Linked DNA regions of Daphnia pulex. The protein of the gene in region 1 purifies or fractionates together with the protein of each later gene. This does not show direct contact. Links are inferred from orthologs where the notes say so. Each region holds a gene or a part of one and is shown in the gene's direction. Other genes may lie near its edges. The genes, in order: protein phosphatase 1K, mitochondrial-like; 2-oxoisovalerate dehydrogenase subunit alpha, mitochondrial-like; lipoamide acyltransferase component of branched-chain alpha-keto acid dehydrogenase complex, mitochondrial-like; 2-oxoisovalerate dehydrogenase subunit beta, mitochondrial-like.

Evidence for each region.
Region 2: the proteins of protein phosphatase 1K, mitochondrial-like (region 1) and 2-oxoisovalerate dehydrogenase subunit alpha, mitochondrial-like purify together in Homo sapiens (affinity purification with mass spectrometry; 4 studies listed by BioGRID and IntAct, counting the BioPlex papers as one, with this or other methods). This does not show direct contact. The link is inferred for Daphnia pulex from reciprocal best matches to the Homo sapiens genes PPM1K and BCKDHA.
Region 3: the proteins of protein phosphatase 1K, mitochondrial-like (region 1) and lipoamide acyltransferase component of branched-chain alpha-keto acid dehydrogenase complex, mitochondrial-like purify together in Homo sapiens (affinity purification with mass spectrometry; 4 studies listed by BioGRID and IntAct, counting the BioPlex papers as one, with this or other methods). This does not show direct contact. The link is inferred for Daphnia pulex from reciprocal best matches to the Homo sapiens genes PPM1K and DBT.
Region 4: the proteins of protein phosphatase 1K, mitochondrial-like (region 1) and 2-oxoisovalerate dehydrogenase subunit beta, mitochondrial-like purify together in Homo sapiens (affinity purification with mass spectrometry; 3 studies listed by BioGRID and IntAct, counting the BioPlex papers as one, with this or other methods). This does not show direct contact. The link is inferred for Daphnia pulex from reciprocal best matches to the Homo sapiens genes PPM1K and BCKDHB.

What each region holds. Positions count from the first base shown.
Region 1 is NC_060025.1:9,523,701-9,531,159, reverse strand, and holds protein phosphatase 1K, mitochondrial-like, read left to right. Parts: upstream 1-3,756; 5' UTR 3,757-3,921; coding exon 3,922-4,438; intron 4,439-4,502; coding exon 4,503-4,579; intron 4,580-4,673; coding exon 4,674-4,757; intron 4,758-4,824; coding exon 4,825-4,892; intron 4,893-4,957; coding exon 4,958-5,039; intron 5,040-5,103; coding exon 5,104-5,299; intron 5,300-5,385; coding exon 5,386-5,459; 3' UTR 5,460-5,626; downstream 5,627-7,459. Other genes in the region: uncharacterized protein LOC124203045, read left to right, coding at 1,810-1,966, 2,355-2,679, 2,739-2,991, 3,061-3,304, 3,368-3,381. UniProt on the Homo sapiens protein: Serine/threonine-protein phosphatase component of macronutrients metabolism.
Region 2 is NC_060021.1:6,460,576-6,468,027, reverse strand, and holds 2-oxoisovalerate dehydrogenase subunit alpha, mitochondrial-like, read left to right. Parts: upstream 1-2,638; 5' UTR 2,639-2,795; coding exon 2,796-2,879; intron 2,880-2,945; coding exon 2,946-3,110; intron 3,111-3,170; coding exon 3,171-3,366; intron 3,367-3,427; coding exon 3,428-3,589; intron 3,590-3,657; coding exon 3,658-3,802; intron 3,803-3,871; exon of another isoform or gene 3,872-3,872; coding exon 3,873-4,076; exon of another isoform or gene 4,077-4,143; coding exon 4,144-4,282; exon of another isoform or gene 4,283-4,367; coding exon 4,368-4,495; exon of another isoform or gene 4,496-4,566; coding exon 4,567-4,645; 3' UTR 4,646-4,740; downstream 4,741-7,452. Other genes in the region: WASH complex subunit 2-like, read right to left, coding at 5,021-5,145, 5,220-5,601, 5,664-7,452. UniProt on the Homo sapiens protein: Together with BCKDHB forms the heterotetrameric E1 subunit of the mitochondrial branched-chain alpha-ketoacid dehydrogenase (BCKD) complex.
Region 3 is NC_060026.1:4,118,696-4,126,382, reverse strand, and holds lipoamide acyltransferase component of branched-chain alpha-keto acid dehydrogenase complex, mitochondrial-like, read left to right. Parts: upstream 1-3,694; 5' UTR 3,695-3,774; coding exon 3,775-3,834; intron 3,835-3,910; coding exon 3,911-4,098; intron 4,099-4,163; coding exon 4,164-4,348; intron 4,349-4,410; coding exon 4,411-4,550; intron 4,551-4,614; coding exon 4,615-4,896; intron 4,897-4,962; coding exon 4,963-5,171; intron 5,172-5,240; coding exon 5,241-5,433; intron 5,434-5,515; coding exon 5,516-5,587; intron 5,588-5,650; coding exon 5,651-5,818; 3' UTR 5,819-6,062; downstream 6,063-7,687. Other genes in the region: pumilio homolog 3-like, read left to right, coding at 1,170-1,817, 1,883-2,113, 2,183-2,393, 2,460-2,641, 2,713-3,537. UniProt on the Homo sapiens protein: The branched-chain alpha-keto dehydrogenase complex catalyzes the overall conversion of alpha-keto acids to acyl-CoA and CO(2).
Region 4 is NC_060027.1:5,061,881-5,069,878, reverse strand, and holds 2-oxoisovalerate dehydrogenase subunit beta, mitochondrial-like, read left to right. Parts: upstream 1-2,790; 5' UTR 2,791-2,843; coding exon 2,844-2,961; intron 2,962-3,033; coding exon 3,034-3,111; intron 3,112-3,180; coding exon 3,181-3,383; intron 3,384-3,463; coding exon 3,464-3,619; intron 3,620-3,708; coding exon 3,709-3,880; intron 3,881-4,031; coding exon 4,032-4,177; intron 4,178-4,668; coding exon 4,669-4,755; intron 4,756-4,856; coding exon 4,857-4,997; 3' UTR 4,998-5,340; downstream 5,341-7,998. Other genes in the region: feline leukemia virus subgroup C receptor-related protein 2-like, read right to left, coding at 1-54, 161-271, 366-469, 562-767, 862-1,000, 1,231-1,455, 1,566-1,668, 1,748-2,028. UniProt on the Homo sapiens protein: Together with BCKDHA forms the heterotetrameric E1 subunit of the mitochondrial branched-chain alpha-ketoacid dehydrogenase (BCKD) complex.

The sequences.
Region 1 (7,459 bases):
AAAACCCAATTAAAAGAAAAAGGTAACAGTATTCAACAGACAAATTTACCATGTTCTCTAAAAGGTTGCAGGACTGGCATCACTCGATGGGGTGAAGTGGGGATTTTAAATTTGGATTTAAATAGGAGTCGTACCACAAGCAGAAGAGGCCATAGGTTTTGCTTTCACAACTTTATTGCCAAACTTGAGAATTGGCGTGCTTTGTCAGGGGCTGTCCTGTTGCTCAGAGTAGTAATGACATCCGGCACGATGTGACATGGGCGACAAAAGATGCTGAGCCAACTGCATATTTGTTTCTGAACGACATGCAATCAACCTGCATCACGTCAAAGACCCCAACATAAAAACACAAAAGAAGAAGCAAATTACTTTAGATCGACCTTGCGTTTGGTTCTGCTAACACAAATTGAAATCAACTAACGAACCTGTTTAGAATGTTACTGGGGAGATGAAGGACTACTGCGATGTTCCAGGTGATTCCATCATCAGCGGATCCATGGATGGGGAAATTAAAATCCACGATCTCAACACTCCCGACTCTGTCACACCAAATGGCGCATGTCGTCAGAGTCGGGAATATGTTCCATCGCACTGGGACAAGATCAGCTACTCACCTGGGTACCTTGTTGGCGGGCGAACAGAAACGATGGCACCCGAGGTGAATTACGATCGACACTTCGAATGTTTTGACTCGACAAATGAGGCGGTGCCGTCGTCTCACCGTCTACAAAATTTGACAAGTTGTGAGACGACGAAATATTTCATGCCGACCTTCCGTGGCGTGACAGGCATTTTTCAAAACAATCAATGATACCTTTTGTAGAAGCACTGGAAGTAACCGACACGTTGAGATTTTGTTGGCTCCCGGATGTCAGACGCGTGGCAGACATGGCTGTACCGATGACTGTAGATAAAATGAGCAAAAAATAAAACAATAAAACGACCGTTTGGCATGAGCCATCAACTGCTTCTGTGTTTTTCTGTCTGCTTCTGTCAATGAAGAAAACAAAAAAAAAAAACAAGTGATAATCGATTATTCATTTGTTTTACTTTAGCAATGGCCTATCTATTATAAATCTAAATATAATACATTTGAGTTAAATAGCATGTTTTTTTTTTTCGGGACAAATTTAAGGGCTGGAAGAAAATCTAACTGTATTATTTTATTTATTCGATTGAGTCAATCTGCAAGTTTGTACATCGTGAACCTGTGCATAGCAACACGCTGAACAGTCTAGATAATCCCGCCAAAAAACAGCTACACTTTCCGGGTCCCCGCCTCTATGAAAAAATACCTTGCTATCTTTTTACTTTTTATATAAAATCGCCAAGTGACCTTACAATAAAAAACTGCTTTACATACTAAGATTAAAAGAGAGAAAAGGCAGAATTTATTGAAAGTAATCCTTTTGAGGGAGGAGTCAGAAAGTTTTGTGGCGGGAAGGAGGGGGAAAAATCGATCAAATTTATTAAAATTGCTTCTGATATAAATGGCACTTGATCCTCACATGTATGTTTTATTATTTAGAAATTATTGCTTCTTGTAATTCGCTTAAAATGAATAAATTATGTCAAGCCCACCAGAGTTATGATGTTGTTAAGATTTCCCGCCAGCATGATTTCGGCGCCAATGGTCAAGAAAATGAACCACGTGTTTGCCTCAGGCAGAGTTGTGAGAGCATGGTATTGGTGTATCACTGTATCCGGGGACATTTCGGTCAAAGTGTTTTTCGTCACGAGATAGAGCAGTCGCGAAATTATTTCAGTCCTGCTTCATACAAGTCAAGTTGGCAATTCTGGGTGTCCAACATGAGTAAAATTACTAAAGAATTCTTGTTAAAGAAAATGAAAGAGAAAAAAGAGCCTTGCCCAAGTCATTGGACCGGAACCGATTTCATGAATGCCGCATTAGAGGAGGCCGGCTGTAAGACCCTCCACGAAATGACCTTAGCCGTCTACCGTGCCTGTAAGTTATTTTTTCGATTTTAGTAGTTTGTATGCAATCATTTACATGGAGCATGTTGCACATTTGGAATGCCTGGCATTATTGGGAGTTATCGACACACGTTTTAGAACTTTCCATCGAAATGGGTTTTCCGATGATAAAATGCCTCCCACCACACCACCATTTTTACTCGTTTAGCTGAGGGCATTTTATTTTCTTTATTTTAGTTCAAATAACTTCTTTCCCGGCGTTCAAAATGTTTATAACCTGCTTCTTAGCAAAATTTAAGGCTGAAAAACATCTGCTAAGTTAGAGCTATTTATGAAATTTTTATTGGTATAGCAACAGATATTATGTATGGTAAACCTAATAATGTTTTTGTTTCTATTTGTCTATTTAAAACATTAAGTGACTGAAATCACAGGATCATCTACTGCCCCAATCTCAAGACTCCCAGAAAGTCTAACGCGCTCTCTCTACCCAGTTGATGGAGAACAAAAAGTGGATGATGACGATGATGATGACGATGATGATGACGATGATTATGACTTTGGCCTCCGTAAGTTGTTGAATCCAAGGGTTGTTCGTGGTAACTGGAAAATGCCTCGCCTCCACCCCATTTTCTCGTTCGCCAACTTGTTTCTAGTTGTACTGATAACTAGATCCCCTAATGGCAGAAACATTCCAAGCGGTTATTTTGATAAATTGCGGAATTCTTTTTTGGAAAATGTCCCGTAAGTTCTCACATTACATAATTTTAATAAACCAATAATAAATGTAATTGTTATAACAGGGCCATCAGAAAATTTCTCTACGATTTGAGCGGTCTGCAATACGAAATCCATCTTATTCAGGAATGCGCCGCTGATGAACCGATCTCCAGTCTTGAAAGTGACATGACATCAGACGACAGTTCAGCCGATGACTTTATCGATTTCCCAGCGAGCCATGTCGATCTTCTTTTCATGTATCATTTCATCGGCAACGCGAAAGTAGGCTACATGGTTAATTGCCCTCTGGATCTAAATGGCAGCATGTCGAATTATGTAGGCATCATTTATAAACAATTTTTAATTCGTGATCTTAATCCTAAATGTTAATAATCGTTTATATAGGCTGCTAATCTGAGAAATTTGGAGAGGGGCGGAATTAAACCTGCTGACGTGATTTACATGTCTCATGGACTTGAAATGGATGCTGCTTCGAATGATTCCTTTTACGATGTCGTTCCCAACTTTACCATCTTTTCTGGAGACAAAATGATGGAGAAACTCAAAGAACTTCATTCGCCAGAATCTTCTGGCATTCCGGATAGTCGCAATTCCGTAGTGGATGGATTCCTGTCTGCTGCTGGATACCGTAAGTTGAACTACACTTCGTTATTTAACGTCTGAATTGTTTAAAACATTTATTTTAAAATAGGTGCCAATAAATAGCCCAGATTCGCCTTGAGTTTCGCAACGTGGAAGTACCAGGCAAAACCCTTCAAAAAATAATTTTCAAAATTCATGTTCATAATGTCGGAGAACCAATCCAGAGATCCCGTTTTTCTTCAGTTTTATCTTCTCCAAGTTTACTTAACTGATCTCATTCAGTATTGTACTGCGTGTATGTTTCATAACTATTTCTCATGTAACGCACCACTTTTTTTTTGTATTCTCGTAAGAAAAATACACAACGAAAGGTGCTTCAGTTGCTTGCTGGCATTGCTGTTGGTCGAGCGACTGGAAGAATCTCATTTCAAACTTTCAAACCGCCCAAACGTGTAGTCAACATTTCCGTCTCTAGATGGCGTTTCTTTATTTTGTTTGTTCACATTTTTGCTTTCCATTTACAGACCAGAGATAAGATCAAGTGAGTGTAAATTAGGATACCAGCGAAAACGGGATATTAAAACGTAAAAGAGGAATTCTCGTGTAAATCTCTACTGCTAGAATTCTGTGTATTTCCATTCATCATTTGACGCTCAAAGAGATATGAATTTTAGATCAACTTTTCTTTTATCAAAAAGCCTTGCAAATTGCAACAAATTGCGTCTGTTGTTCTTGCAGTCCTCCAAGGGATTCAGCACTCGTTCTGCCACCACCACCACCAAGCACAAATATGGTTCTTCCAAGACGGTCAACGTCGATATTTTAGGAACGTGGGACAGCCGGACAGAGTTGCCTCTTGAACTCGAGTCTAGCATCAACTATGGGAAACCCATACCTCAAATTCTCATCTCGTCAGTTGGAACACACTCCATTCAAGGCAGGAGGCCTTACAACGAGGACCGCTTTGTTGCAAAAGAGCTCAGACCGAATCTGCTCTACTTTTCTGTCTTTGACGGGCATGGCGGATCAGAGTGTGCAGACTACTGCTACAGTCACATGGAGAATCATTTAACCTTTTGGTTGGACAGATTAAGTGTCAATGATATTGAACATGCAATTGATGCTGCATTCATCGAGTTGAATAACTCATTTTCTCGTTGGTGGGCTTTTCACGGCAAAGGTAAAGTTTGTATTCACCAAGTATTTGTTAAGCTGCTATTGAACTCTGTATTTTGTATTCGTAGCCACCAGTAATGTTCCAGGGACAACGGCTACAGTAGCACTCCTTCACAAGAACATGGATCTTTATCTTGGCCATGTTGTAAGAAGTATAGGCATACATCATTTATTCTTCATTACGTTTAGCAAAATTAAACTTGCATCTTCCCTTATTCTAATTTAAATTGTTATTACAGGGAGATAGCCGAGCTATGCTATGTCGAGGAGGAAAGGCCCGCCGTCTCACAACCGATCATTGTCCATCCCTTCTTACAGAAAAGGTGTAAAAAATTGAACTCAAATTTTTAACATGTTGAACTAAAATTACACGTTATTCTTTTAATTTAGACTCGAATTGAACAATCTCAAGGAAAGGTTGTGGTTGATGATGTTGGCCGAGGAATGGTTAACGGAAGGTTAGTTAACTCAAGTTTTCCGAATTGAACCAAGTAAAATAGCTTTCTATTCGCGTTTTTATTAGATTAGCGATGACGAGAAGCCTGGGAGATCTAGAGCTGAAACCATTTGGCGTGACTGCCGTCCCTGATGTGAGAAAGATTAAGGTATTCTTATTGATTTAACATTCTTTTTCGCTCTATAATATTTATCCCTCTTATGTTATTCAAGATAAAGCACGGGAGAGATGCATTTTTAGTGCTGACTACCGACGGAATCAATTGCGTGATGTCGGATCAGGAAATTTGTGACGTCATCCAGCGAACTGAAGATCCAAATGATGCCGCCCACTGCCTAACTGATGCAGCCTTACATTACTCATCTGAAGACAATGCGACCGCAATCGTTGTGCCCTTGGGCTCCTGGGGTAATTCGAATCAAATTTGTTTCTCTAATATTCCAATTGCTTAATCTCGTTCGTCTGTTTCTTTTCGTTTCAAAAATGACTTTTAGGCAATAACACGACATCAGCTTCCATTTTCTACAGTTTTGGCCGCAGCATGACGGTCAGCAGCCGCTTCAGTTAATTCACTCAATCCGCCCAATATAAAACTCGTGTTTTTATTACGAAAATAAGCCTCCAATCAATACCGTTGGAAGCAGCACGCCTTTACGACCCTTGTGAACCCTGTTGACTTGAAACAGTAAACCCCATCGTCGTGAAATGTGAATACATGAATGTTTCATGCCTGAATGAAACTAATGTACGTATTTTAACCATTTCCCATTTTCTCACTTCCTCGACTAAATAATTTTAAAAAATTTGCTCATCATTTTATTTAATTTAGCGATTGATTTGTTTTTATCCCCCCCGCTGCCCCAAACCATTTATGATGGAAACAACATGTTCAAGTGTGGCTGGCCAGGGGAACGTACGACAGCAGCGGGTGCAATCGGTGAGCATATAGTACTGGTAACTGTTTTAAAAATAGCCAGGGAGGAACACACAGGCCCTGGAATGATAACAAAGTGTATTGTATACATCTCCCCCCCTCCACACACAGCCTTATGTACGCCGACGCACTTGTAAATTATTGCCCTTGTTCCACTTTGGATAAGCATTAGGAGCCCAGGAGCCAAATGGGCTCTTAATAGAATGGCGTGTGTTTTATTTGGCGTCCAGTGGCGGATCTACTTTGCTTTCAACCGTATTATACCTTAGAAGTCGTCGGTCTTAACTCTGTGTGTCACACGACTCTTGCTCTAATCGTGATAGATGATTGTGCTAATGACTGGGTCGTTTGTCAGAACAAAGCGTCAAAGGATAAGCAAATGGTAAAGTCGGAAGAGGGCCGCGCATTTCCTTTCAACCGGGTGGTGGGTGGGTGTGCGTGTGTGCCGGGCAACTTATATGCTCCACCTCCCGTTGGTGCTCGAGTACCGCGCTGTACTTAAACTCTAATGTAGATAGCGACCGGCCAGCATATGCAGAGACACAATGAAAAATAAGGAAATATCTTTGATGGAAAAGTTTTGGGGGGGTCTTTCGGTTGCCACGCCTCGGGTTGTATATGATTGGTTGATTGATTGCATCAGGACTAGACATTTTGTGAATGTGTATAACCAACGAATCGTCGCCCATGTCGCCTAACCGCATCACCCATTAACCATCGATCACTGACGACCCAGCTGCTCCCCTCGCCGTTTCTATGGCTCCGTTTGATTTGTAGATTGTCTTGAAATAATCGACACACCAGAAATTTACATTTGAAAATCAATCCAACTGTCCGTGAACGCGTTTAACAGCGGAGTCTACCTTGGGGGGTCGATTTGTCTCACTTTTTACGAGCGCTGCCGTCGTTTATAGGGTAAATCCCATTTGTTTTGGGTTGGTGTAGGGGCGACAATCCTTGATCTGTTGGCATTGAGTTCCTGTCGAGTCCCGAAACGGCCGACTATTCCTTTCTTTTAGCTTTAAATGTCCAAGTCGTAACGGCTCGACTCGAAACTGAGCCGATTGGAAATAATTCGGTTTGAAATTACACGGCGCCAAATAATAAAAACCCGAAACATTTTAGTGTTTTTGGCCGCATGTGATTTGTATAGGCTTCCATGCCCAGTCATCAAAAGGTCGCCTACAATTAAAATATTTCTATTGCTAGTCAGAAAATCCCATCAAGCAGGAACCGGATTCCCCCCCTTGGCCCGAAAGCTTTGGAAAAAGAATATCCTCAACGTCTAAACACGGGGACCAATGTGTCCATACGTCGGAATGAGCTTCAACTTACACGTATCCGATTGCTGGGGGTGGTCTTTGATTTCATATCCATTGTGCGCTGTGTGAAAAATAAGAAGAAAGACTAGCACGCGTGAGTATTATACCGCCGTGAACGCAAGGAGAGGGAGGACTGGACCCAAAAGCGGAAAAGGAGGACGGACTTGGCTGGGAAGGAGGAGCGACGACTTTTTAGGGGGTATACGTCGTTGTTTTTGGGTTGTTTTTGGGTAGTGTCGGTCCTGTCGTTCAACCAAGACAGAAACAAGGAGCTACTACTAGACATTCGTCTTGTGTAAGACACTTGCGACA
Region 2 (7,452 bases), on another chromosome or scaffold:
TACAGAAGAAGAGAGTCGGCCATTTTTTCTGTTTCTACTTTATTACGACACGGTGACTGGCTACTACACAGTTATTGGTTGAAAAACTGTACGGGTGCCACCGGTACAGCATGCGGCAATTAGCGTCCAATATGTTTGTGGGCGCGTACTGGTGTAGTACGTACTGTATACATTTAAAAATAAACGCGCAACGACACGACCCCCCTTTTTCTTGGTGGAATTTTCTTTCTTTGGCGTTGGCGCAAATGGCATTCGGCACAGCAGACAGCGGTCGTTTTTTTTTTAATACCAAACAACATCTGTAATCTGCATTCATAAGTTTGGGCGCCATCCGTTTTTCAGAGAACATTCTTTCGAGTCACCGGTTTTATTTACCAGCGTTTTTCTGAATAAGAGAAAAATTAACGACTCGTAAATGTGCACAAAATGCAACGGAATCTACTTCACCCGTGTCATCATAAAATAATAATCTCCGAGTGCCATGCTGCTGCTCAACTGCAATCTCATTTCGCTGTCCTCCGCAGTACTCTGATACAGTTATCTAATCGCTTCGACTTTATTACAAGAACAACAACAACTATATACACACAGCGAAAACACATTTTACCTCATCGCCGGAGTAGTTGTCTGGCGATGACGATGGATTCAACTAATATAACGATAAGGAGATGAGGATAAAAACTTGGCGAAGAACATGGCGTTTCAATTTTTTTATTATTATCGGCCGCTGCAATAATAATAACCCACTATACTACTACTCGCCATTAATCTGTTACGATGTTTACCTGCAGTCGGGCTTTTTTATTTTATTTTATGGCGCAAACAAGATGTGTTTTACATCCCGTAATTTAGTCCTTTTGCTCGACTACCTTATTCCGTTTCAGAGTCGACATGGTCATTAAGTGTGATAAACTTCTAGTCTCGGCAGCGGAATGTATATAACTCTGCATTCAAATGATTTTTCTTTTTTTTTTTTCAAATTTCAAAAGACCCATTAACCTTTTGAGTTTGCCGGGAAATGATTCTCAGAAGAAAAAAGGTTTCAGCAATTATTTCAATCCACTATACGTAGTATATATAAGTTACTCGGCTATGAATCGCATCTTTATTTGTTTCTCAACGGGGCGAAAAGTTACGAGGGGTTTTAAGTTCGCAGGGTCGTCGCTCGTTTGTTATACACCGAAAAAATTATATCGTTTGCTTGTATCTTGAAGGTTATCCGGCGCGGTGTATAACGTTTGAAGTCATTTGGCTGATATTCTTTCCAACGAATTCGTGAAATTGAATTCAATCGATCATAACTGACATTTCACAGGGACTTTCTCGTAAAATAGTCGACCGCAAATATTGAGCGCATTTGTACTATTTTTCTTATCTGACAGGAGACTCGTGCATTTCTTTATTCTTGTCGACCTTTGAGCTAGTTGAACTCGAGCGCTGAATTTGACATTCTCGGTGTAATTCAAACGTTCTCAGTCATTAAAAGGAAATGCACGCGGCTCACACATTGTGAACATTTCTCAAAAGTGGAGCGGATTTTTGTTCAAAAAAGACGGCATATATATTACAGGGCTTTAGGCCATTCATTCGGAATTGCGTAACGCTGTCCTTCTCCTTTCTAATAATTCATACTCTGAGCTTATTGGAGTTTGAACGACACGAACGGCGTCGTGTGTCGTAACATCAATGCCATTCTCTCCTTTTTTTTCTTTCACGCCGAGTGAATGTCTTAATCGTTCACATGTGTCGACGCGCTGCGACACCCAATTTTTTTGTTTTGTTTTCCTCGGGAAAAAAATAAAATAAAAAGCCAAACAGAAAACCACTCGAATAACGGAGCTACAATACAACAAGGCTATCTGGTAGCGAGATCCCAGAAAAGGGGGGTCTCAGAGAACAAAATAAAACCAAATAAAAAATAAGAAAAAAATAAAAAATAAAAAATCATGGCGCTAGCGCGCAGTAAATTTCGTCGTCTTCTCTCGTGGTTCTCACTCGTCGGTTAACCGCGAAACTGGAGGCGGTTTCCTACACATATGGGTGTGTGTGTGTGTGACGCGCCCGACTTTAACGAGAGCCGAGTGGAGAGAAAAACCCTGGGCAACGGAGAACAAATATGTACAATGCATGTAATAAAGTTTAAGGAGAAAAAGAAAAAAACACGGACTAGATGTATCCTCTTGTTAATGCCGTTATGGGCGATTAACTCGCGGCACGAAACCGAATCGTAAAAAAGTAAAAGAGAAAGTGAGACTTATGTATATAGTAGAGCTGCGCGGCATCCTCATTAAGTCGTGATACATAACTTGCACTGATTTCGCCAGCCTCGAAAATATGTATGCACGAAAGAAAGTGATAGCGCAGGAAAGTTATTCCAGCTTTGAAAAAAAAATCATCAATTTTTATGTTTGGAGTCTGAACAATATCCTTTTGAAATAATTCTTCGACCCTACGTCATTGATCTTCGAGCTAGCTTTCAAATTCCATCAGCACGAAAGCTTTTAAAAGCATGGTTCGCCTTTCTTTGTTCATTTTTTTACATATTCGTCTCGCTTTCCATAAATCGTGAGCATCGTGCAAATATCGTGATCGAAAACTTTGGCTACAACTACAAGCTAAATTCGTCCACCTACAGATGGCGTCATTTTCTACGACTACCGACCATTTTTCTCTTCCGACGAAATTTCTTCTGCTGCTGTGTTATCGTTTGAACTAAATTTTACCGAGGAAAAATCTCTGTTGGCGAGGAAGCGTTTTAAATTCTACTTTATCGCATCAATTAAAAAGCCTGCATTATGTTACCCATACGGCTAGCTCGTTTTGGTATTCGCTCGGTAGCTGCCAACTGCAAGCGAATCAACATTGGCTCTCTTTCTCAAGTGCGTATAATATAGTTATACATTTTTGTTTGAAGGGAAAATCAATAATTGATTTCATTAATGTAGGTTGCAAGAGAATTTTCTTCCGATGAAAGACCACAGTTTCCCGGTTCGCGCTCCCAGTGGACTGAAAAGCTAGAATTCATTCGCCCTGACCTCTACGATGGGATCCCAGTCTACAGAGTTATGGATAGGAAAGGAAAAGTTATAGACCCTAGTCAGGATCCCCAAGTAATATTTTATAATCCTATTAAAAGCAACAAATTCTCTAATGACTAACATACCCAATAGTTGTCTCAAGAAATGGTCATCAAAATGTATAAATGCATGACCCAACTCAACACCATGGATAGAATCTTGTATGAATCTCAACGTCAGGGGAGAATTTCTTTCTACATGACAAACTACGGGGAAGAAGGCACACACATTGGGAGTGCAGCTGCCTTAGATCCAAAGGATCTTATTTTTGGACAGTACAGAGAAGCTGGTAAGTAGTTTACCCTTCAAAGGCTTTTTTCAACCATTCTAAAATTGTTTTCTTTCATCAGGAACATTGATGTGGAGAGGATTCACACTTGATCAGTTCATGAACCAGTGCTATGGTAATGTCGATGATGGTGGCAAAGGAAAGCAAATGCCAGTACATTATGGCTCAAAAGAACTCAATTTCGTTACGATTTCTTCGCCGTTGGGTACTCAAATGCCTCAAGGTAATTGTCGATGAAATAACTCTAGAAATTGTTTCCTAACCATTAAGCCCTATTTATTTGCAATAAAGCTGTGGGTGCTGCCTATGCATACAAGAGATCCCAGAATGGTTTGTGTGTCATGTGTTACTTTGGTGAGGGAACATCTAGCGAAGGAGATGCTCATGCCGCCCTAAACTTTTCCGCAACATTAGATTGCCCAGTCATTTTCTTTTGGTAAGTGGTGTTTCTACTTTGACGCGATATGATGAAATAACACTAACCTTTACATCTTTGCGCCAATCAGTCGTAACAATGGTTACGCCATCTCAACTCCTTCCAAAGAGCAGTACCGTGGTGATGGAATTGCCGGCCGTGGCCCCGCTTACGGCATGTTGACCATTAGGGTTGATGGTAACGACGTTTTTGCTGTTTATAATGCCACGCTGAAGGCACGGCAAGTGGCTATCAGCGAGATGCGGCCTGTCCTAATTGAAGCCATGACTTATCGGTTAGTGAAAGGGTAGATTATTTCCTAAAGTGCATGATAATTACCTAATTGGTTGAATCGTTTTCAGAATCGGCCATCACAGCACATCAGACGACAGCACTGCCTACCGTAGCGTTGATGAAGTTCGTTACTGGGATGAGCGTGACCATCCCATTTCCCGTCTGAGGAATTATATGTTATCAAAAGGATGGTGGGGAGATGCTCAGGTACTTACCGTTTTTGCTATGCCCTCACCATGGCGAGGAATGGAGATATAAAAGTTTCTTAATCTCATTGGTGACGTCTTTTCAGGAGAAAGAGTGGAAGGAGGATTGCAAGCGCCAGGTTATGACGGCCTTCGCCCGTGCAGAAAAGAAACTAAAACCCAACTGGAAAGAAATCTTTACTGACGTTTACCATGAAATGCCATCCCACATAAGGTAAACTTTTATTTTTTCTTCTGGCTGACTCAAAAGTATTAATATATTTTGTGTTATCTCTCTTCTTATAGGGAACAAATGAAACAGATGGAAGAGCATGTACAGAAATATGCAGAACATTATCCACTAAAGAACTTCACGAAAGATTAATGATTTAAGATATTCTAGATGTAAACTTGTGTCGTTGTTCAAAGATGATTGATGTTATGAAGCAGACGAGAAAATATTACCAATAATGATACACATATGCTGGAAAGGGATACAGTAAATTATAACTTTGTAGAAGAAAAATTTGTTGGGTTTTATAGGCCACGATCAGTATAATAAGGCCTCGAATGGAATGCTTTCTATTTAGAAATTATGCCCATGGATGCCAATTACGAGGAAAGAATAATCACAGAATATGTTAAGAGTTTAAAAAGTTTCTTTCTTAATACGATATTGGGCAACATGATGATGAAAATAAAGGCACCTAGGCCGACTTAGTTTCGAGACTAGACTCGCTCGAAGGGAGGGTATCGTTACTCATTGTTGGAAATGTAGAAGGGGATCAGATGCTGCTGTAGCAGCAGCTTTATTACCGCTTACAACTAAAGTAGGATCTGGCTTCGGGCGATTATGCAGCTTCGGTGTGCTGGCGAACAGATCATCTAATAAACAATTTGACAGGTGCTTTAGAACGTGCTGGTGCTTTGAGAAAAGGTTTGTATTTTAAAGAGCTTACCGTCATCATCAGAATCGGCAAGCAGGAACGAAGGCGTAGTGACCTTTTTCGGTGTCGGAATGCTAGACTGACTGCTTAAAACACTGTCATCCGTACCGGATCCCATCAAGGTGGAATTGATTTTGGCGTTAGATTTTAAACCTCCTTTCCGCAAAGGCGCCTCAGCTTTGGACACCGTGCCAGATGCGTTAGTTTTGAAAAGCTCTCCGTCGGAGCTATCAGAATCGTCAAAAAGCGATCGATTTGCAGGTTTTGTTTCGCTTTCAACCACAAGGCTAGCCTCCTTTTTATCCAGTTTCATTGGCGACGGTAACGGTGGAGTAACAACCGGACTGACAACGACTGGTGTGGTTTCCTTGGGAAGTTGAATAGTCTCTTCGGCCTGTAAGACAAATAGTAATTAAGTCACACACATAATTATTACAGCACAGGTGTAAGCGTTACCTTAGTCACCATCGAATTGTCGTCGTCGTCCTGGATTTGGGAACGTCGGAAATTACGAGTTGGTGGCTTTCGGCTCCTTGGGGCTTTCGGCCGTTGTTTACTAACACAATCGAGCAGATCACTGTTTTGTGCAACTTCCTCGTTATCTTTATCTTGCGACTCGCCTGACATGATTTTCTGTTCCGCTTTCGTCGGGCTAGGCGGATTGCTTATCACGGGACTGGGAATGCGAGGACCAAACAGCGGGACACCACCGAACGGCTTGCGAACAACAGAATTCGAAATTGGGGTGATGTCTTCATCATTCGGCGTAGTGGCCGTCGATCCTGCTGCATTCGAAAACGGTAACGAATTCGGTTGTTTGGCGAGAGACAACTTTAGCGAGGCTATCCGACCTGCTATCTTATCTACGGTTTCGGCTGAGGCTTGAGGTTTCACTTCCGTCTCCGGAGATTGTCTACTATCACGCTTGTTGCTTGAGGTCTCACTTTTCTCAGGGGCTTTTTGAGACGTTACGGGAGGTTGAGGTAGGGGTTGTTTTTGTTCCACGATACCAACAAAGAGATCTTCGCCTTTGATCGCATGTTCAATTTCCTCTGTTTTGGCTGAGATTTTCACAGGCACAGGTTGTGGTGGTGGGTGTTTTTCAGCTTTAATTCCAAACAGGTCTTCATCGTCCGATTCTTCAAATGCCTTCAAGACGGGAATCTGTTGACGGATTGATGATTGGAGAGCGGGTGGTTGGCTACCAAAGAGATTGTCAGGGCCATTGCCAGGTAAAGACATGGGTAGTTTCGAAGAAGCAGGTAATGATGTTGATGCAGAGACATGTTTATCGCTAGGCATTTTAATTGTAGCGGGATCAGCTGCTACCTTCATTGGCGACGTCGGTTTCTCCGTCACCTGAGCGACACCACCACACGCCGATCCGTCTGCTGAGCTTTCTGGTTTCCGAGCAATAAAAGGATTTCCGGACAAAGATGTCGGTTTTGTTGGCAGAACTCCTCTAAACAAATCATCAGGGCTACCGACAATTGCCTCGGCAACATCCACGGAGACTTTGGATGGTGGGACGTTAGTAAATAAATCTTTACCTTTGGAATCTTTTTGAACATCTTGCAAGACAGGGACTTTTGTTGCAAGAGGTGGGGGTTTTGCTGAAACTGAAACACCAGCAAATAAATCTTCATCATCCGAGTCATCGTCGAATAAAAGCGATGGTTTAGCCTTTAGTTTTGGATGTTGCTCAATGTGAATTGGCTTGCTGTCATTATCTTTAGCTGAAGCTGGCCGCTTTTGTTCTTCTTGTTCTTCCTTTCTTTCGCCGTTTTGAATCGGAGTGGACTGATGCCGACTTGACTGTGTAACTAATTTATCTGGTAGTGGAGAGGTCGATAAAGTCTTGGGAGGTACGACCAATGTCGGAGCCTTATTCTTAGTGACAACTATATTACGAAAGAGATCGTCATCGCTATCTTCGCTGTCGGCAAAAAGATTCCTTTGTTGTGGCTGTTCGGATCTTTGGGGTTGTTTGGTTTGAAGAACTGGCTGTTGGTCTTGTGTTTTGGGTACTGGTGCTGCAACCTTCACTGGCAAGATAGATTTCTTGGCAACAAAATCCGGCACGTCTTCGTCGTCGAATAAAGATGACCCCGATTTAATTGGAGGCACTGCCACTTTGATGGTGGGTGGTAATTGGGAATTCTTCGGCTTGGCAATCTGGGATGAAAATATGTTATCCTCGTCATCTGAAAAATTTGCTGCTATCTTTACGATTGGTTTAGCCACT
Region 3 (7,687 bases), on another chromosome or scaffold:
AACGGATGATTGCATGGTGCACAAGAATGTGTATCGTTTCCGCCAGCCATATTATGTCTGACTTGTGGCCTACTTTATATTTGGTGATGTAGCTGTGAAAACTTGAGGAATGCGAATAAACAATACATATTCAACCCGTAAATTTCAATTGCTTACGATCTTTTTCAAGTGTCGTTATTTCAAATTACTACTACTATGAACTTATGAACTGCTGGTATGATAAGAATTCTGGAAGCAAAGGGCAAGATCCAAATAACAAGCAAAAGGCTTGATAACTGATGGCCTTTGCAACGATTGAGAAGTCGGCGTGAGATGAAGTATTCTGATAAGACATAGACACATTTGGCTCCAGTTCTTTTTCAATTCATAAAGACAGCGTTGAACAATGCTCGCCTATTCTTAAGCGAAAATCAAGTCAATATGATACGTATTTCGTAATGCCTCGGAAAATCTAAATCTGTTCTTGCCCATCCATCATGGAAAATAATAAAATTTAGTATGTTTACTTTTTAAATAGAACAAATTCTGATAATCGTAGAAAAACAACTCTTAACTAATACATTTTTTTTTATTATTTAAAAAATGATTAACGTAGCAGTGGCACTAGTGGCAAATCTGCGAATGATACTGCCATACTGCCCTCTGTCGCACGTTCACTGTCGATACAAGGGGAATGAAAGCTTGTTTATTAGCAAATTTTTCGATCAAAATCTTAAATGTATTCAAATCGATTTTCTTTGGCACGGTAGTGGTGCATTCATGATGTGAAAGTGGGAAATAAGCTTTTGATTATGATAGATTTTGAATTTCCCGCAAATGTCATATGGTGCATCAGAGCTCTGTTTTTATGACTCCTTTGATTAATCAAAATTAATGTCATTTAAATTTTAAAAATTAATTACAAAAGTATTTATGGTTAAGTTTGTTTTGAATAGAAATTTTTTAAATTTTCCTTCGTAAACTTGCTCAGCTGCAGAGCAATCTGGCAACAATTTAGCAGAAAGCATTCTCAAACCACGTGTTTGACAGGAATATATTGCGTGCGCCGTGCTGACTTTTTGCTTAAAGTTTACCATAGTTTTCTGTACGAACGCGTTGTTTTCTTTCTCGAGATTGACCGTAGGTTATTTAATCAAGTTTAAAACAGTTGTGAACTTTTAAGTACAAGAATGACGCTCAAAATTAACAAAGCGGCTGTCAAGAAAACCAAGAAGCAAGTTGTCGTAGCAGATGCCCCAGGTTTCACTCATTCAGAAAGCAAACTCATCGACCAGTTAGAAGCCAAGAAAAAAGTCAAACATGATAAAGTAGTCGAAGAAGATTACGGTAAAGTTGGAAACATGTTCAAAAAGAAAAAGAAAACTGCTGATGCTGAAGAAAACATTGAAGAAGAAGAAGAGAAAGTCGTTGTTAAAAAGGAGAAAAAGTCCAAGAAAATGGAAGTGGATAATGAAGATTTCGAAGTTATCAAGCCCTCAAAGAAATCAAAGAAAACTGAAGAAACAGAGTCTTCAAGTGATGTAGTCATCCCTGGCTTCTCAGCACCAAAGGTAGCACCTAAAAGAAAACATGAAGGAGAAGAAGTCAATGGTAAGAAAGCCAAAAAGACTGTTGGAGAACAGACAAGTGTATTCAAGAAGAAGGAAAAAGAAGCACTCAAAGTTGAACGAAAGACCAAGGAGAATGAAAATCGCTATCTGCTGTCTGTTAAAGCCAAAAAGCTCTGGGAGGAACTCAGAAGGGAAGACACTACCAAAGAACGTCAACTTTCCATTAGTGCTGATCTCTATGGATTGATCAAAACTCATGCAGCAGAGGTAAGTGAAAAGTTGATGAAAAGCTGTAATTCATTACAAATTGTATAATTAAATTTTCCTTTTAGTTGGTCTTTGCCCATGATACAGCCAGAGTTATTGAATGCTTGTTTGAGAAATCATCTCAGGATATCAGAGATGCCTTATTCAATGAACTTAAAAGCCATACTGTTAATTTGGCTAAATCACAGTACGCACATTTCTACTTGATGAAAGTTCTCCGCCATGGTAACAAGGAACAGCGAAATTATGTCATCACTGCGTTAAGCGGAAAAGTTGTTTTTCTTATGAAACACAAGGTATGCATCTATTTAACACCATCTTCTTTATTTCAATATTTGGCTAATTAATTCTTTATTATTTATCAGTTCGCCTCCAAAGTGGTTGAAACGGCATACAACGATTGGGCTAACGCAAGTCAACGCGCTCTGCTGAGCCAGGAATTTTATGGACCTGAATTTAAACTTTTTAAAGATGAGTCCATTACTACGTTGAGTGCCGCTCTGGCTAAACATCCCGAGAAGAGAGAAGTATTCCTAAAGCATATGAACCAGGCCATCGAACCAATCATTGCCAAAGGTTTGTTGATTTGATACCAATATTCGATTGTATTCAACCGTCTAATCGATTTTTTAATTGGAAAAGGTGTCTTCAATCACAGTTTATTGCATCGTTTGACTAATGAGTACCTTACTCACTGCAAAGAGAATGAACGCTCTGAAATGATCCAAAGTCTTCGTCAGGCAGTCGTTCAAGTTTTGCACACTCGCGATGGAGCTCGAGTTGGAATGACGTGCCTCTGGTATGGTACCCAAAAAGATCGAAAGGTAAATTTAAATTTTATTTATTTTGTGTTCGAAATTATATCTCACCCGCCTGTCTATTGAAAATTATATAGGATATCATCAAAAGTTTCAAAGGTCACGTAACCAAGATCTGCTTAGAGGAGCACGGCCACATGGTGCTGATGGCGCTTTTCGATTCCGTGGATGACACCAAACTCGTTGCCAAAGCTATTGTCACAGAAATTGCTACCAACTGGAGAGAGATTGCTGTTCACGAGCACGGCCGAAAGGTTGTCATGTACTTGCTTGCTGGCCGCGATCCCAAGTTCACCCATCCACAGATTATTGACATATTGAAGCAAGGAGACGGTAATCCCAACAGCAAGAAAGATATGGAAACTCGTCACAAGGAACTTCTCCAGTATGCCTCCCCTTCCTGGTTGGAAGCTGTCTCACACGAACCTGAAATGTGGTTGAAAGATAGCAAAAACTGTCTTGTTCTTGGCTCCATTCTCAAATTTTGCGTCGGGGAAGAATTGCAAGCTGCTTTTAAAGCAGTGGCTTCAGTTATTGGTAACCCACTCGACCAAGATCTGAGAAACGCGTTTAGCTCTAGTGGCGAAAAAGTTCAATATTGGGTTGAACAGTCGGCTGTTCATATGACGGTTAAAAAGCTAATTCAGTTTGACAAGCTACGAACGCAACCTCCCTATTTTAGCCAGGCAATCATCGATGAAGTAGACTCTGATGAGATTAAAGGTTGGCTAAGCTGCAATCGCGGTTCTTTCTTGCTCGTTGGAATGGTTGAAACCGAAATTGACAGTGTCATACAAGCAGTTTTAGAAAAACTTAAAAATTTGAGGAAATTTCTACAAAAACAAACCAACAAAGGCTCTGACATCCTTGATTCCAAATTGGCGAAGTTGGAACCAATCTAGACTTCACTGTTGAACTGTAATCGAAAAAAAATCATTGGAATAAAAAATAATTTCTGGAACATTTTGTATTTTTTTTTTAATTTAAAACAAATAAGAATTTTGTGTTGCCATATTTGCAAATTTATTTATTTTAAATTATTATTTTATAAATAATTTCAATAAATATAAGTGTGTGCTCAGCGCCATCTTCTCTCCGTCGGACGTGATAAGTGTAGAATTTTTCCTCTGCGAGTAAACATGGCTTCTGCTTCACGACGAATTGTTTGTAGTTTTCGACAACATAAGTTGTTCTACCTGGTAATTAGATTTTTAATTTGTCAACTAGATTCGATAGAATAATTTAAAAATTTATCCCGTTTTAAATAACACCTAGAAATCACGATTGCAATACAATGCCGTTCCATTGCTTATTTCTCGTTTCGGACCCTGCGGTCACGTCGAACAATTTCATCCAATAACTACTAGATTTTTTCATTCTTCGAAACCTTTTTATGGAGAGAAAGTACCCTTCAAACTTTCAGATATTGGAGAGGGAATCACGGAAGTTACGGTTAAAGAATGGTAATAGTCTTTGTTTAACATTTATTGTTCACTGTATTTATATGAGATTGAAATCAATTCTAAAGGTATGTCAAGGAAGGTGATAAAGTGGCTCAGTTTGACCCCATCTGTGAAGTTCAGAGTGACAAAGCATCAGTTACCATTACCAGTCGCTATGATGGAATCATTAGCAAGTTGCATTATGCTACAGACGATATGGCCAAAGTGGGTACACCATTGGTAGATATAGAAGTCAGTGGTTCAGTCACAGGTACAAAAAACAGTGATTCTTGTTTCACTTGATTTTGTGTTGCTTATAGTTTTTTTTTTTAGAAGAGCCTGTTGAAGAGTTGCAAGAAAAAGATGCCATACCCCTCGGTGAAAGAGAAGACGAGAGTTTGGATACTCTAGAACTTCCAGCAGAAAAGGTATTGACAACACCATCTGTTAGAAAAATGGCCAGTGATCATAAGGTATGTTTTAGCGACTGAACTTTAATAGAAATTCTGTCAGTAAAACTTGGTTTTAATATTATAGATAAATCTACGAGATGTACAAGGAAGTGGGAGAGACGGACGTATCTTGAAGGAAGATATGCTTCGGCACATTGAAACTCTTCGTAGCTCTAAGAGCGCCCCGAAAGCTAAACAACAGGCGCCCCAGGAACAACCTAAACCTGTTGCAGCTACCTCCCAACAGCCGTCGCCTTCAACAAAAAGCCCACAGCAAGTGAGACCAGCCTGTCCGGTTGGAGTGGACCGCACTGAGTCGATTAAAGGATTTAAGAAGGCTATGGCAAAGTCCATGACTAATGCACTGGTATGATCAAGAGATTTCACGTTCATATTTTCGGTTCATAATTTTCAAGATATTTATTTTTTAAAGCGAATTCCTCATTTTGGTTATTGTGATGAAATTGACATGACATCAATGGCTACGCTGAGACATTCTCTGAAAGAGAATCCAATGGTTAAAGAGCGAGGCATTAAGTTGTCTTTCATGCCATTCTTCATTAAAGCTGCATCCATGGCTCTGCAACAGTTCCCAGTTCTTAATGCTTCGGTTGACGAAGCTTGCGAAAATATTACTTACAAGTATGTAACCAAAAAAAAAAAAAAAAGTTTCTTTCTCACGTAAATAATTATTGAACTTCTTTTATTTAGAGCCTCTCATAATATTGGATTTGCCATGGATACGAGTCTCGGTTTAATTGTGCCGAATGTAAAAAATGTCCAATCATTGTCTGTGATGGATGTTGCTATCGAACTAGCCAGGCTGCAGGAGCTAGGCAATAAAGGAGTTTTGGGCACTGCAGATTTAACCGGTGGAACTTTCACCTTATCCAACATTGGATCGGTTGGATATAAATCTCTTAATATATTTTATTGATTACTTTTTATAAATTCCTCGTTTAAAACGTTTTCCCTTTTAATTTCAGATAGGAGGAACTTATGCCAAACCCGTCATTATGCCGCCGGAGGTTGCTATTGGAGCAATAGGACGTGTCCAGGTAGTTTTTAAATTTCGGCAACCTTTAATTATTCAGATGATTCAGTAGTATTGAATTGTTTAGGTACTTCCTCGTTTCAACAACAAAGGTGAGGTGGTGAGAGCATCCATCATGCAAGTTAGTTGGTCTGCTGACCATCGAGTGATTGATGGCGCCTCAATGGCGCGATTTTCCAATTTGTGGAAGGCTTATCTAGAAAATCCCAGCATTATGATCTTAGACTTGAAATGAATATTCAAATACTAATAATGAAGTACTCTACAATCCGTGTCCTCCTGGCGGAAGGGTACGTTTCTAAATTTAATAAAAGAGGATCTATATTAGTGTATAATGGTCGCGAAGTGAAATCTCAACAGCATGGGACTCAGTCATATGGTCAGTATGATCATCAGTGTATGAAAAAAAAAGAAACTTGATATAATATACTGCCTATCTGTTATTTCACTAAGATAACAGATTAGTCCTACACGTGAAATTTTCTTTTAAATGTTTTTCTTTTACTTAAGTTTAATATTTTAAATTAAACAAACAATATGACTGTGTTTGTGAATTTGTAGTTTTATGTACTATTTATCCAGTGTGAACAACATTTTCTTGTACTAGTAATGCCATGTTTAATTTTTAATATTATTTACTTTATGTGATGCAACTTTAACAGGAGATAGTGGAGACGGACTTGGTCAGTGGCCCACTTGTCTGCCCGCTAGGTTAAGAAAACCAACGTATCTGTCATCTGTCATGAATTACCTGTTCGTAAGTTTTCGTAATGTTTTGGGAATTTCCCTCAGAAATAGTAAATCACCCAATTACTTACGATTCGGTTCGGTGTGCGCGGTTGCGTCGGTTTAAAATTGAGCAAATAGAGAAGCTTGTTGTGCGCAAAACAGAAACATTTGTAATGACTTTCTCAATCCGAATGAAATATTCAAATACTCCCTAAAATCGTTAAATAACCTAACCAAACACAAAAAACAGTAACTACACAATAACCGTCTAAGCCAACGAGCCCCCTAGCGGGATAATGGATTACATCGAATGAAGCCACAACCCCGCCAAATAAACGAAATCAGGTCTAGGCGGGCTGGGAAATGTTTTTTAGCCTTTTCTCTAAACATGTTTTCATCTTTTTTAGAAGATCTGATGTCAAATAGCGTTGCTGTGGCCCGGTCCGAAATTTTTAGGATTTTTTCAGGGGGTGACCGGTCCCGGCAACCGAACGGTTGCACCGGACCGTTGAGGGCCTTACAAAAACCCAAAATTGTGAAATTTAAATTTACACTGGAAAGGAAAGATGAAATGTAATATTTTCCAACTGTGACAACAACCCAACCTATGTAGGTTGAAATGTAGATCTCCTTGAATAGTTCATTCTGTTGCGTGTAAAGTATACCGCCTGACCGCACTGACCCACACCCCGTGCTGCCTGTGTTGGGTGTCTATAGTCGAGACAGGGGAAATCAAATCATCTGAAATGATACCGCTCTCCGTTAATCGAGTTCACAACATCACAGACTACTTTTTATACTATACCAAAATTTTTCTCACGACAGCTAAGCATGTCTTATCCAAATAAAGTAGCTACTGAAAAAAAATAATACGTGTCGATAACAAAAATAATTCTATTTGTGTGTGTGCTGTGTGTGTGTGTGTGTGTGTGTAGACACATATTTAGTTTAAGGATCCGTTTACTCCCGGCTGCTGGAATTTCGTTTTTTTTTTTCTGGTTTCATCCAGACGTGCTGGTTGTTTTGGTTTGCGTATTACATGTCGAAACGGGCGCAGACCATTAATTCCACTTGCTTAAACCGACCGTGACAAGAAAGCTGCGGCTTGTTTACAGTATATGATTTCGTGCTGGCGCGGAGATATGGTGCTGCCTTTTAACTGCTTTATATCCTTTTCGGTTGCCTCAACAGCCGTGTGATTGCGAGCCACAATCAACCGATATGTTTATTTGTTATTGTTACATAACTTTGGACGAGCGGGAGTGCGGGACTGGTTCTGGCGTCGCTTGAAACAGCCCGGAGAAAATTGTGCCGGTCGGACGACACTGACCTGGCTGTTACGATGCCTGAAAGGAAACGAGGCTTGGGATAATCT
Region 4 (7,998 bases), on another chromosome or scaffold:
GTGAGTTCGGCGGCAAATTCAAATCCCACCGGAAGGTATCCCGTCATGAAAAAGCTGACCAATTCAGACCGCACAAATATCGACAAATAAAAAAAAACAGGTCACATGAATATAATAAATCAAATCAAAAGAAATACAAGTGTAATTCGATATAACATACCCTACGGCTCCGGCCGTGACGAACGTGACGGCGATGATCTCCACATTGAAAGTGAAAGTGTAGGCAACCATTCCCACGACGGCCATTCCGTAGACGGCTAGCGTCGTTTCTCTATAGACACGAAAACGAGAGTTGTTATAATTGGCGATCAATCGTCACGTCCATTATGGAAACGAATTTTTAAAAAAGTCACATCATGTCTCACTTGAATTTATGAGTGCGGTCGAGAATAACTCCACCCAGGACGGAGCCGGCCATTCCGCAGACGACGATCGTCAATCCAATCTGCCCGGCACTTTCTTCCTGCCCCTATATCACGTCCGGGAATAATTGGGACGTCATTATGATTTGTTGGCTCGTTACGCTAATTGCAATTGCTCAAGTTGTCGACGACTTATTACTGGGAAATGCTGGAGAATGGTTTGATTCAAGAGGGTTGACATGGCGTAAAAGACCCCTACGTTGATGCCGTAAGTGACCAAGAGAAGGACGTAGTCTCGGTTCCACATAATCCGTTTAATCGATTGCGAATAATTCAACGAGTCCGTCGACGAGTCGATAGAGCAACGGGCCAGGCTCGGAGGCAGCGGCGGTTTGGATTGAAAAACTGCAATTCAAATCAAATGGAAATTGACATTCATAATATGTAAATAGCAGCTTTATAAAACTTTGTCAATTTGAATTGTTTCGAATTGATATACCTACGATGACGAGAATGGAAACAGCCGTACATAATCCGGCCACAATGTAGAACATGAGACTCAGTCCGCTGCCGATTTCTTCAATAGTTCCGTCCCTCACCAATATGGGCGGCAGGAGAAAACCCAGAGCCACACCTAACTGTATATTGATGGGCATACAGACAAAGTATCTAATAAATTTACGAGTCTTACTTTTACGACCAGGATATGTTTCTTGCATATAGCTGTATCATAACTTCCATTTAAATATTCCGTTAGAGAGAGAGCCCATCAGCATACTGATGTGATCATTCGAATCGGACCGAGTTCAACTCGATCCGATTATTCCAAATTTATTCTTCATCAGATTACTAGCTGAAATGTTTTTACCTGGTTGCCAAAGACTCCTATGGAGCAGGCCGATGAAACTTGATCGGGACCGAACCATGTCGCCGCTATGTTTGGCGGGACGCTCAAGACAAAGACCTGCGAAACGGCTGCGATCGTTTGACCGATGAGGGCGACGTAAAAGCGATCGGGAGCGACGGATAATACTTTAACCCACGCGCCAGCCGCCGTCCCCAAACTTCCAATCAACAGCGTCACTCGTAAACCCTATTGAGAGATAAATTTAGACCCGGGAGTTATTTATTTATTATTTTCAATGGCCTGCTGTTATCAGCATTTGCACTCTGAAATTCCTGTTTTCCCATGTCTAGACTGACCATTTTATCCATGACCCAGGCACCTGGAAATATCAATGGAACATAAACCACCATGTAAACCAATGACGTCCAGTTGACAGTTTGACTATCGACGCCGTAATATCTAGATACATCAAACAAAAAAAGATATGAACTCGGTACGTAGCTACTTTTAATACGTATGATAATGATATAGGTTGTACTTGATCAGCAAACTGGTTATGATAGAAAACTGGATCCATTGGAAGGCGTTGAGCATTGAGACCGTGACGAAAATCAAGAGCATCAGCCATCTCCGTGGGTACACTTTGGTGGACAGCATTTGCCGATGATCCTGCGATCCGGTGTTTTTCGACTCGGCTTCTTCCGGCACCGAAATGTGGAAAACGACTATCTCGTTCCCATTTTTCTGCGCATGCTTATTGTGATGTGTCAGTAGATCGTGATCGCTGACTGGGCTGGCCGGCGTCATTTTCGACTCCATATGTCTGATGACAAAAAATGTCAATGTTCGCACTATCGTTTTCAGGGACTGGTGCACTTTGAATAGGAATGAGAACGGCGAATTTTATCGATCGTCTATAGCTTGGTTATAGGCCCGGTTCAAGTGACGGGTCAGGCGACAAATAAAGGCGCCATTCTGGTAATAAACTTAAAAAAATAAAAAAAATACAAATTGATGCTGATCAAATGGTTGTTCTCCGTTATTTACACTTGCGGTCCACACTACTGACTTGACTATGTACGAGTGAGCTTAGACTTACAGTCGTACGCGATTATCCTGACGGATGATTGTTGATGTTGGGCTCTCGTGGGATGCCATATTGATATCCTATCACATTGGGAGCGTCCAGTCAACGAATGCCCTTCAAGGTTGAATTGCCAATCGATTTCGTCACAGCAAACATGGATTCTCATTACATTTTGATGGCCGAGTTCAATTGTGTTGGGTCTATTTGTATACTAGCCCACGAAAAGTTGTAAGGTTTCTTTGTTGGGAGAAAATTGCGGTTAAATGTTGAACTAAATTCTGGATAAAAAGAAAAAAAAATTGTAAATGATCGCTCGCCAACTTGATACGCCATCCGGGTCACATGGGGGCGATAACTTTTTATTTCGTGACCCGCGGAACAGGAAGAAGTGCTGCTCTAATCGATTAGAGTAGACAACAAGGAACGGCATTGCGTTTGGTTCAAGAGATGACCGTTCGCAACGATAGATGGCAGCTCTAGTGATGAAAAAACGAATAATCGGAAGTTGGAATCAGACGATATCGACGTAAAATTGCTAAGTGTAAACATGGCTCTCCGTACTTTCATTAAACGGAATCTCATTCTCAACAATAAATGCCCGTTAAGAATATCTCAGCGGTTGTCTCATTTCACTTTCGTTCCAGATACTGTTTCTGCTTCCGAAGGTTCGCCAATCGGTTAATTTTGATGTATATTGAATGCATGGCATCGTTAAAATGAATTTGATTCGCACGCAGGTGAAACTCAGCGGATGAATTTGTTTCAGGCCATCAATAATTCACTTGATATAGCTCTAACCCAAGATCCAACTGCTGGTAAGTAAACATGACAATTAATTCAAATGGTTTGATTTGCACTTTTTAAGAATTTTGATTTGCTTGCAGTTATCTTTGGTGAGGATGTTGCATTTGGTGGAGTGTTTCGCTGCACAGTTGGCCTCCAGGAGAAGCACGGCAAGTCCAGAGTTTTCAACACCCCACTGTGTGAGCAAGGAATTGCTGGATTTGGTATCGGAGCTGCCACTGCTGGAGCCACTGCCATTGCAGAGATTCAGTTTGCAGATTACATCCTTCCAGCATTTGATCAGGTATCATTCAAGAGCCTGAAGCTATATTCATTATCTCGAAACATTAAACAGGTCTTGTTCGAAATCATTATTTTTGCCAGATATGCAATGAAGCTGCCAAATACCGGTACAGGAGTGGGGGCATTTATGATTGTGGATCTCTGACCATCCGTGCTCCCTGCTCTGCAGTAGGGCATGGAGCGGTGTACCACTCCCAAAGCCCTGAAGCTTTCTTTGCTCATTGCCCCGGACTCAAGGTGAAACCTGAATTTCTTGTCATGGATGATAGGTGACACTGTTTTTTTTTTGTTGTTTTTAATGCGGTTCTGTACGTTGTCTTTAAAAGGTTGTGGTTCCCCGAGGGCCCATCAAGGCCAAGGGCTTGCTCCTGTCGTGCATTCGTGACAAAAACCCGTGCTTGTTCTTCGAACCCAAGATCCTGTACCGTAGCGCCGTCGAACAGGTTCCAGTCAAAGAGTACACTATGCCGTTGTCGAAAGCCGACATCCTAGTCGAAGGTTTGTGTCCATAATCAAATCATCATGTGTTGTGTTGGTCTTATCTTTTTTGAGACGTATAAACATATTTTTGATGTCGGGATTTTATTCGCCCGACGATAAAAAGAGAAACGTCGCCAACATATGGGTTTTATTAATCTGATTTCATTAGGAGATGACATCACGCTGGTCGGCTGGGGCACCCAGGTTCATGTTCTGCGCGAAGTCTGCCAACTAGCCAAGGATCAGCTCAACGTTTCGTGCGAACTGATCGATCTGGTTACCATTCTCCCGTGGGACAAGGAGACCATCGCCCAGGTTGGTAACCCGAACATTATGCCCTTTCTCTCCGTTGCTGTGGGAAAAAATAAAAATTGTTTTTAAAAAAAAGGGAGATACCATAAAAAATGAGAAATTTTGAAGCAATCCGAAACGAGAGTCACATGGTTTAAGTGAAACTTCTCTCTTGACATTTGCGCTGAATGGCTGGAATTGTATTTCTGTTTTCGTTTATCACCCAGCCCTTTTGTTGTTGTTGTTGTTGTTGCGGTGGTTGTAACAGTAGAGCTGCCGATTTCTAATTGTGGGCACAACGACCAGGTTTGGACAAAAATATTCGAATTGTGGGAGGGTCGGTGAGGCGAGACGCGGAAGTGAAACCTGTTGACTTATTATCCAATGTGATTGTCGTTTCTTTTTGCCTCTCTTTCGCCATTTTGTTTATATTGATCTTGGTTGTTTTTACTCTATTCGCCATTTTATTATGATTATTATTTTTCGTTAATCGCTTTCTAACTATGTTTCTCTAGTCGGTGAAGAAAACGGGGCGATTGTTGATAGCCCATGAAGCGCCATTGACGTCTGGATTTGGAGCTGAAATAGCGGCCAGCATTCAGGTAACTTTTAAAAAATAAAAAGGCTGTGATGATAAGGTGAACGATCTCAATCAATGCTTCTCTTTGATTAATTCAACACTTTCTTTCTACCCCGAAAACAGCACGAGTGTTTCCTGAATTTAGAGGCGCCCATTGAGCGTGTCACGGGATTCGACACACCTTTCCCGCACATGTTTGAGCCGTTCTACATGCCCGACAAATGGCGTTGCTTCGAAGCTGTCAAGAAACTAGTAAACTATTAAGAGAGCAATTAAAAAAAAAGTCATGTTTAAAACGAAAAAAAAAAAAATAAAGAATTAAAATTTAATTAAAATCGCTTTCGCCAGAGAGATATGATTGTACATTACATAACTAATCTAAAAAAAAAAAAAAAAAAGGAAATTTTGTTTATGCTCATTTGTTCCCTTCACTGAGGTCGAATGTGTACGTGTCCAGGCGTGCATATGTATGTCTCAAGGGTGCGATTACCGTTGCACACTATTTACCAGCAGTCGGCCTTAGCGCAGCTCTCCTTATCTCGGTAGGCAACATGTATGTACCAGCAATGATATAGTATATATATAATATACAGTATACATACAAATATATTCTATATGTCGACTACACAAAACGCTGATTACGTTGTTTGGGGATCGATCTGGATTAGGGAGAGATCCGTGAGGCGTCCACTAAGCAAATTGACGCAAGAGATTCGGTTTACACGAGTTGACTGCAAACAATTCAAATTTTTTTTATCGGTTTTCTAGATGTTTCCAATGTTTACGATCGGCTCGGTTGAGCCCCCATCCGAATGATTAGAAAACTCACGATCATTGCTCACACACAATGAGCCACCATTGTTCTCTACTGTCCTTCCGTATAGAATTGGCGCAGAACAACAAATTCCCGAATCTTGTCCCGAATAAATAATTCGCTTTTTAACAGATAAATTTAAGACAATAGGGGCAATTTTAACTGTAATTTTTGGCTTTTTTTTTTACAAGGAAGTCAACACAGTTTCCAAAGGATATTGTTATAGTACTATGACTATTTTGAAAGGGGGAAAAATAGATCCGAGAAAGAGAGAGAGTCACTTTCGCTCTTTTCTCTATCGTGCAATCGCCGACTTCGGTTTTTATATACACAACTGTCATCGTTCACTTCCCTCTTTGTTCGTGAAGGAAAAAAAGGGGGGATAGATATATATTTCTCTTTTTTTTTGGCTGAAAATCAAAGGCTTATTATTGTACAATAATATTCGAAATGCCGGAACTGTCGTCATTTCATTTTATTTTTTGACTTGGTTTCATTCATTTTCATATAATCTGTCAGAATAGTTCAACTCTCTCTCTTGTCCACACGCCATGGCGTATAGCACAGAGCCGGCTAGAGCTGCTAGCTATTAGACTCCCACTATGTAACGTACACCCTGTATAATAATATCAGCAGCTTGAAGGAAAGAAAGAAAGACACAACTTTGCGTGCAGTCGACTTTGAAGGACGTTGGTTTTTTTTTTTGCATATTATTACTTGTATTGTAGAATGCGTACAAGTATACCGAGATTGCTGCATTTCCACATTGGCGACCTTCAGCTTTAGGGGGAATATAGCTTATACAATCGCCGTCGACATTTTCAGTTGGCAAAAATGTAGTAACGACTTTTCCAGATTGGCCGGAAATTCACATAATAATCGATTTTCTATTTACTATTTCGGTTGCAGGTTTATAGTATTCCTGACTGGAAAAAAAAATTCTGCGGTTGAATATTTTTCGATTGGAAAAAAAAATTCAGCCAATTGCTTAATAATCGACTCGATGAATTGAATTGGACTGTGAATCGCGGAATCAAATAATTTGTTATCACTTCGGTTGACGAAACAGGTTCGAGAGCGCGTGACGTGTCTCGCCGTTTATATCTGCTCTCTCAACAATGGATGTAAAAATTCAACGGGTTCTACATGCATACATTGCGAATGTTTTTATTTATTCCCAAAAAATGTGTTTTCTTTTAAACATCAAATAAGATTTCAAATTTCCCGCCGTCTGTTTTATATAGATCACTCGAGACCCGTTCTGCACGTGCGAATACGTCAATGCGGGCTGATTATTCCAAGAACATTTAACTCAAACGTTCTAGACGCGAACATCAGTTTAACCGTGTAGCTACACAGTGTTCCCTCTCTACTTTGCATTAAATCTAAAGCGCATCCGATTAAATAGCTTTGAATAAAAGAGCTAAAACGTTTTCATCCCCCGTCGACAAGTGTTTAGTCGTTTGGAAAGACGTCACAGCGCACACAGCAGCAGCAGAGACTCTAAAGGGCCGTGCATATGTTGTTGGGCTCTCGGTATTGATTCGCCGGCCAGCCGCTGCCATCACTGCCACACTCGGTACGTGCAACGTGACGTCAAATAACTGCGTCGCAGAAAATAATACATCTCAAACGTGCACAGCACTCACTTGCTCTGCATGTACAGTAGGATTACATGCATATTATTATTACCCAGTTGGTGAGTGCGATTGCCATTTAAGGCTATCAGCAAATAGCTCGCGCAAACGAGTTCTATTGTCAATTAATTCAAAGACAAATAAAATAACGACCGAAAATGTAATTGTGAACTTGAATTGTTTTTTTTTTTACAAAGTCCCGGAGCACAGAGAATAGAACCCACATATCTACTCTACATGTTTTTCAATTGCATATATACTAATAGCCACTAGGGTGAATGCCCTATGTAATAGAGATATTATCAGAGAGTTGGCTGCCATTTCCTCTCTCTCTTTCTCTTTGAAATATTGAAATAAAACCAAATTTTAATATGGTAACCAGCAAGTCTATATGTATCCTATTGCGAGCGGGATATTCTCGGTTGTTTTGTACACATGTACACCGCAGCGGGGAGCAGTGCACACATCCGTGAAATACACACGGGCGATGGGGTCCTAGATCTGTTTCGTCGTCTGTTTATCTTATTTTCCGCGTTTGAACAAGTGGATGATGAGCATTATTATTATTATTGACATCGTTTCAATGCCTAGTGCACCTATGTGCCAGTGCTGCACATAGGTGTTGGTGGTGCACTCCATCACGCACCTGCAACACCCGCTCCTTTGCCTTGGTTATTCTCTCATCGTTTACACGCGCTGACGTCCGCACTGCTGTTATTGGATGAATCTAAACACCTGTGAGCATTACGTGATAGGCCAGACTTAGATATATTTATAGGCCACTCTTGAACTACATTAAATAGACTAGATGAAA